Macaca mulatta: one gene and its partner. The protein of the gene in region 2 interacts with the protein of the main gene of each other region in a biochemical or structural test. Links are inferred from orthologs where the notes say so. Each region holds a gene or a part of one and is shown on either strand. Other genes may lie near its edges.

Region 1 (3,748 bases), on a different chromosome or scaffold from region 2:
TATGTAGATACCACACATTGCAGAACCAAAGGAAGTGGGAAGGCGGTGTAGCCAAATGCTGAAAGCAGTGACCATAAAAAACTAAGTTCAGCCCTTACAGGAACTCAAAGGCTTCACAGCTGTTTCCTGGCAACCAGAAGCACAGATTAATAAAGAGCCTCACTCTAAACCTGACTAAGGAAGGCCTCAGGGCCCTGACCACACCTGGAAGACTTCTCAGGGTTAGAAAGCAGGGAGGCCTGTACACTCATTTTAGTTTAACCCAAGTAAGGTCTGCTTAGCACCCTGCACTCTTTTCACTGCCTAGGGACTTAGGTCAGATCTTGCCATACTCCTCTTTTTAAGACTCTTATTTATTCATTCAACAAATATTTACTGACTGCCTACTTCATACCAGATACTTGTTTGATGGCTTCCCCTCACACCAAGTCAAATCCAAAGCCATGTCTCTCCAACTCATCTCTTTAACAAGCCTTGCTTGCACACTAAGGCCTTTTATCCTGTTCTTTCAACATGCCAAGCTCAGTCCCACCACAAGGCCTTTGCACTCACAGTCCACCCTCTCTCCTACCTGTGACACTGTAGGGTTGGCGCTTTCCATTATTCCCCTCAGTTGAAATGTCACTTTCTCAGAGAAGCCTTCCCTGACCATCTCTCCAGACACTCTTTATCATATCACACAATTTCCTCCATAGCACTTACTGCTATCTGAAATTGTCTTATTTATTTACCCCTTAACAGCCTTCTCTCCTTGACTCGAATGGAAGCTCCCAAAGGACACAGACTATGTCTGTTTTGTTTGCTATCCACAATGGGACATAATAGGCCCTCAGTAAATATCTTTTGAATAAACAGACAAAAAGAATTTTGGGAAGTCCATTTTAGGGCACCTCAAAGCCTGTTCTATGTTATCTAAACCATGCCAAATGCTCTTGTATTCCACTCGAGAGCAGCTGACATTTTATCTGATCGCCATAGCCATTTACGAAGCACTCACTTTTTAACTGTCAGGGTCTCCAGAAGTTAGAATCGGGCACCTGTTAACTCAGATTGTAGGTAGCCAACCGAGTGACTGCAAGCAGGGCTGAGCTGCAACAGCACCTTATTGCTGGCTACCGCCAGCACACTGGGCCCCTTGCTTCATTACGACCTGGTACGAGTGTTATTCTGGTGAGAAGTTTCCCCCAGCAGTCTGGCCTGACTCAGAATCTCTCTTCTGGGAGTGCCTGGGGCAGCGTCTTGGTAAATGAATTGACTCAGCACTGTTCCAGCTGAAACCAAAATCGAGTAAAAGGATTCATGGTCTCCGCTATGCTGCAAGAAGACCCCACTGTTTTAAATGCAAAAGGCAGCAGCTTCTGGTGGGTCACTTCAGTCAGATCTCCCATATTCAATTTCTTTTATTCTCACCCCAACCATCAGACAAGTATGGCTCCTTGAGACCGCAGAGGAGCAACACTGTAAAGAATTTCCCTCACCCTATTTCTCATGGATCACCAATTCCTTCCCAACACTGCCCCTGCTGTGGCCTTAAATACCCCAATGACTGCCGTACTCAGGTTCGTGTCCCTGCAGCCCCACAGTGGGGAACACTGTGGTTCTGTTTGCTTCCTCCATCAGAGGTAACCCATCTTCACCCCATCTGAGAGCACCTCCTTGGCCAACTTCACTGCCAGGCACCCGAGGGTGCAGCCTCACCCAAGAGTGTCCATTTCATCTATTCACCTCCCTACTCCCATCAGCCAGTGGGGAACTTCTGAGCTGAACCCACATATCTGTCCCAATTATCAAAGGAGTGGATGAGAGTGAGCGTCTCCACAGAAGAGACACTTCTAGGATATGCTTCCCTCACTCAATTCAAAAAGAGGAGACTTATCTCGTTTACAAGAAACATCTCTGGAACCCGACCTTTTCCACTAACTCATTTCAGGGGCTTCCCTCAGTTGAATCCCCACTCCCAAAGAGACATCCTCGGGATTCCCAATTCACCTGTTCTTCCTCATTCAATATCAGAGGCTTCCACCAATTGCCCCAACGGACCTGTCCCCTGAAAGCGAAATTGGAGCAATCCATCTGTATCCTCGAATAGGAGACTGGTAATGATGGGGTCATTTCACTATCACTGCAATCAAGTCCCTGTGGCATCTGAATCCTTTCCCCCCCGCTCTCACTTATCATGCGGAGATTCCTTAATTCTCCCCAAAAGCAGCCGCTCCAAGGCTCCTCCTTTCTAGTCAACACAGCTATTTCCTCGGCTAACCCCATCTCTAAAACTAACGCCGGAGCCGTCCCCTCAACCAATAGGGGATCCTCTCGAGTCACCCCCTCAGGATCCCGTTCCTTCCTCCCATCCAGCTTGAGGGGCTCCTCTGATGTCCCCTGCAGACATCCCAAGGCCCCCCCTCAGCCGCACCCCTGGCACCCAGTACGGGACTTCCATCCGCTGTGGGGCGCCTCCTCCTCTAAGGAACCCCTTGGTCGCCCCTTAAGAGTCGCCAGCCCCGGTCTCCTCAGAAGTGCCTTGGAGCTCGCTCCTCGCCCACTCCGGCTCCCCCAGGTAGCGCAGCGGGGCCCTCACGCCTCCCGGGGGAGCCTTAAGGCTCGCCGCGCCGCCCACAGGCCCCTCAGCCCCCCGCCCGTGCTTCCGGCCACCGCCTGCCCGTGGCTGCAGCGGAGCCCACCGGACAGAGGCGGCGCGGGGACCCTGGCCCCCCTGCAGGAGCCTTTGAGAGTCCCCAGCCCCCGGCCCAAGCCCATGCCCCTTCGGCCGGCCGGGCCCGGCGCCCCCGCTCACCCGAGCCCGTGGTGGCTGCCATCTTGCGTCGCTGTTGCTTGAAGGCCGGCCCCTTCTTCAGCCCCCACCCGTCCCCTGGCCCTGATGCGCAGGCGCGCGCGCACGCACAGACGCCGCCACTGACGCCCGCTCCGGAGACCTGCGCGACCCGAGGCCGGGGAGGCTCTTTTCCTTCCCTTTTAGAGAAAGGAAATATCTGCGTGCTCGAGGGCTCAGCAACCTGCAAGTCCCCCCACATCGGGTGCGAGGGAGGTTGTGACGTGCTTAGTGAGAAGGGCAGGGGTGACGAGGCTTGGGAAGGCGCGATTGTGAAAGAAAAAGAAAAGATAGCTTCAAACAAAAGCGCCGAATTCACTTGGGGCTTTTTCCTGTCTAGTTCCTATCTAGATCCTCACCACATCTCCACAAGGTCGGAATTAATGTGAAAAATGCAGCCGAGAGAGATTAAACGATTTATCTAAACTCAGCTGTTAAGTGGCAGAGACAGACAGAATTTTAACCTCCAGGTTCAAATTTGAATTTGAATCGTCACCCTCCAGGTCAGATGATCTGGCTTCTAGGATTGATGCTCCCTGGCCAGAGAAGGCTTGAAGTGGGTGCAGCTAAATGATTTGGGGGCAATAAGGTGGCAGGGAAAACATTTGCTAACCATCTGCCCAATTCATTCATTCACTCATTCGTTCGTTCATTCATTCATTCAACCAAACAAACATTAAGCACCAACTATGTACCAGACACTGTGCTAGGAGCTGGGGATGGATAGACATCTCTGAAGAAGCAAATCCCTGCTTTCAGGGGCTTCCATTCTAGTCATAGATAGCAAGTAAATAAACAGGAAACTACAATTCTGATAGGCTAGAGATAAACCAAGAAAAGGGCAGCGGAGGATGGTCAGGAAAGGCTTCCTAACGTGGTCGTATTTCAACAGAGACCCTAACAATGAGGAGGTAGAGG
Region 2 (3,435 bases):
AGAGCCATCTGCCCCTACACAGACATCTAGAACTGGTTTAGATGACTGGCCTTTGCCTGTCTTCCCCTGATTTTCCCTATTACAGTCTTACTTCTAGTCTTAAAGACCTAATACCTCTATAAGAAACAAAGGAGAGAGTTATGACTTGGACATGTTGAGTACCAAAAACGTAATGCAGAGGGGAACATTTTGTTGCACTGACAACATGGAACAGATTTATTTACCAGAACAACCTGTTGGTCCCAAGCATTGCTAACCAGTGTACTTTCTAAGTTTCAGAATTAATACCAAAGAGGTAAGAATAAAACTCAGACCTTCTTCCAATAGGCGGGTCTGGCATCAGACTTCTTGAATGAATCAATAGACAAATGAATAAACAAACTTACTAAAGGGACTGTTTGATTCTTGTCTCAGGCATTCCATAAAATCCTATAGACTTTATAGTGTCTTGACCCCGTGCTCTGTGTCAATGAAGAAGCATCTTATAGGAAAGAATATAAACTGTAGTTCAATATTTAAGAGGCTTCAAGGAAGTATGGAAAGAGTCTGGGAGTGACTAAACTATCCAACGTCATAGAAATAAAGCTATTAAGAATAAGAGTAATTTTTGTTGCTTTATTAAATTTTTTCTCACAGAATTCTTTATAAAAATACCATGTCCCTAAAATGTCATTCAACATATATGCACACCTTCAATGTATAGGACGCTGATCAAAAAAGACAGAGAAATGTGTCTCCCTGGTGTTTGGTTTTTGTTCTGTTTGTTTTTACAGGCAGGGTCTCAGTATGCTGCCCAGGATGGATTCAAACTCCTGGGCTCAAGTAATCCTCTTGCCTCAGCCTGGGACTACAGGCACACACCACCACATCTGGCTTCATGTTGCCAGTATTAATGCAATGCCAAAATATTCAAAATTCTGAAAGGCAAACTCAAATATCTTAAATTTTACTTCACTTACAATTTCAATAATGCTGAAATGTTGATTGAATATTGTGTTTGTAGTGCTATCTCTTTTTTGTTCATAAGAACAACAGCCTATCATTCTCTTGGTTTCTAAAATGTATGTTCATATGGTTTAGATACATATAGTTATATAAATATGTTACACAAAACAATATTTTTTTGAGTTGTAAATAAATAAAAAATTTTAAGGAACTGAATCAGGATAAAAGTTAAAATTATAATACATTTAATAAATTAATTCTAAAGTTTAGACAAAGTTTTGGTTCTTCTTCATGAAAGAAATGTACGAACTGTACCCTTGATTGTACTCCTGCAAATAGGACACTTTCTTAAAGAAGGAGCACAATCTTTGCATACTACTAGATGACCACAAGGAATAAACACTATGGACACTTCTTTGTCCATACACACTTTACATGTTCTTTCTTCTTGTAATCTCCGCAACTGTTCTTCCACTGGTAGATCTAGAAAGAGGAAAGAATTTTTCATAAAAGGCAATTTGCTTCTTCAATGAAAAAAACAAGAAAATAGACAATGTTTTCTATTGGTTTAAAATATTAATACTATTACCTGAAACATCTTCTGTGGGAATATACTTTATGTCCTGTTGCACTAAGGGAGAAAAAGAAAAAGCATTACTATGACAAATAAGGTTAATATTTAGCTACAGAATATATTTTAAAAATGAACTCTTTAGACTTTGGCCAAATACTCATGTCAAGGCAACAAAAGTCTTTAATCTTTTTATGCAATTAATATCTATAAATTTGATTGAGTTTTTTTTCAAGACAGAGTCTCACTCTGTCACCCAGGCTGGAGTGCAGTGGCACAATCACAGCTCATGGCAGCCTCTATCTCTCAGGTTCAAGCCATCCTCCCACCTCATCCTCCTGAGTAGCTGGGATTACCAGGTGTACGCCATCACAACTAATTTTTTTAAAAAATTTTTGTAGTGATGGGGTCTCGCCATGTTGTCCAGTCTGGTCTCAAACTCCTGGGCTCAAGCAATCCACTTGCCTCAGCCTCCCAAGGTGTTAGGATTACAGGCATGCATCACCACACTCAGCCTGAATTATTTTCAATAATCATAAGTTATTAATAAGATCATATTTTCAATTGACTTAGAAAATTTAAAAAAATAATTTTCTACCACTCACCAAATAAACGCTCATATAACACAGCGTCAGCTTCTTGCAGAGAGTTTCTGAATACAGTGGCTGCAATATTTCCTTTTACTAAAATAGTATCAATCAGTTCTCTTGCTTGTAAAGATGTCTGTGTCTTCTGTTTAATAACATCATGTTCTTGTTCATTAATAATTCTGGCAGTTAGTAGACTATCCAGGATTGGAATTACACAAGTCAAATGTTGAAACAGTGCCATTCTATTCTTCCGGATTAATAATAAATCATCTTTATAAAAAAGAAGACAAACATAAACATATTCAAACACTGCTCACAAACTTCCTTCCAGGCCTACATATGTAACAGAATAAAAACTGTCTTTAATTCATAATCAGTAAGGCATTGATATTGATTGCTAGGTTTAGGGGTATCTCATCTCCTGTGCTTAATAATAATGTTATTATAATTATAATTCAGGGTGCAGTGGCACATGCCTGTAGCACCAGCTACTCAGGAGGCTGAGGTAGGAGGATCACTTGAGCCCTGGAGTCAGAGACCAGACTGGGCAACATAGCAATACCCTGTCTCAAAAAGCTGTAATAATAATAATAATTATTATAATTATAATTATAGTAAGGACTAACATTTAGTGAGCACTGTGTTAAGAACTTTATACACATTGATTCATTTCATCTTCACAACAGCTCTTTGAGGTAGGTCCAAATAGCCTCATTTAACAAATGAGAAAATGAAGCCACAGTGAGGCAAGTAAGTTGCCAAAGGACACCACAACTAGCAAAAATCAAACTGAGGTAGTCTGGTGTCATGTACTGTGCTTTCAATCATTTTGCAATACTGCTAAGCCTTTAACCAAATGAAACTTAGAACCTATTAAAATTGATGTTTCAATTCAATCTAGGTAAATTGGGGAAAGATAAAATCAAGATAATTAAAACAATTTTTTCTTAAAGTATTCTTCCATAAAATTTCTTTTATTATTTATTTATTCATTTTTAAAACAGAGTCTTGCTCTGTCACCCAGGCTGGAGTGCAGTGGTGTGATCTCAGCTCACTGCAACCTCTACCTCCCAGGTTCATGCTATACTTGTGCCTCAGCCTCCTGAGTAGTTGAGATTACACCCAGCTAATTTTTTGTAGTTTTAGTAGAGACAAGGTTTCACCATGTTGGCCAGCCTGGTCTTGAACTCCTGGCCTCAAGTGATCTGCCCACCTCAGCCTCCAAAGGTGCTGGGATTACAGGTGTGAGCCATTGTGTCCGGCCCATAAAATTTCTTTAAAATTCCAAGTTGAAATTTTAATTATTTCCAGAAATTAGACATATTGCCA

Evidence for each region.
Region 1: the proteins of BIRC3 (region 2) and UBE2V1 form a complex in vitro, tested with the Homo sapiens proteins (2 studies listed by BioGRID). The link is inferred for Macaca mulatta from reciprocal best matches to the Homo sapiens genes BIRC3 and UBE2V1.

The regions. Positions count from the first base shown.
Region 1 is NC_133415.1:102,962,429-102,966,176, forward strand, and holds the start of UBE2V1 (ubiquitin-conjugating enzyme E2 variant 1), read right to left. Parts: upstream 2,835-3,748; 5' UTR 2,817-2,834; coding exon 2,795-2,816; intron 1-2,794. UniProt on the Homo sapiens protein: Has no ubiquitin ligase activity on its own. The UBE2V1-UBE2N heterodimer catalyzes the synthesis of non-canonical poly-ubiquitin chains that are linked through Lys-63.
Region 2 is NC_133419.1:103,206,300-103,209,734, reverse strand, and holds the end of BIRC3 (baculoviral IAP repeat-containing protein 3), read right to left. Parts: intron 2,377-3,435; coding exon 2,122-2,376; intron 1,577-2,121; coding exon 1,535-1,576; intron 1,429-1,534; coding exon 1,235-1,428; 3' UTR 605-1,234; downstream 1-604. UniProt on the Homo sapiens protein: Multi-functional protein which regulates not only caspases and apoptosis, but also modulates inflammatory signaling and immunity, mitogenic kinase signaling and cell proliferation, as well as cell invasion and metastasis.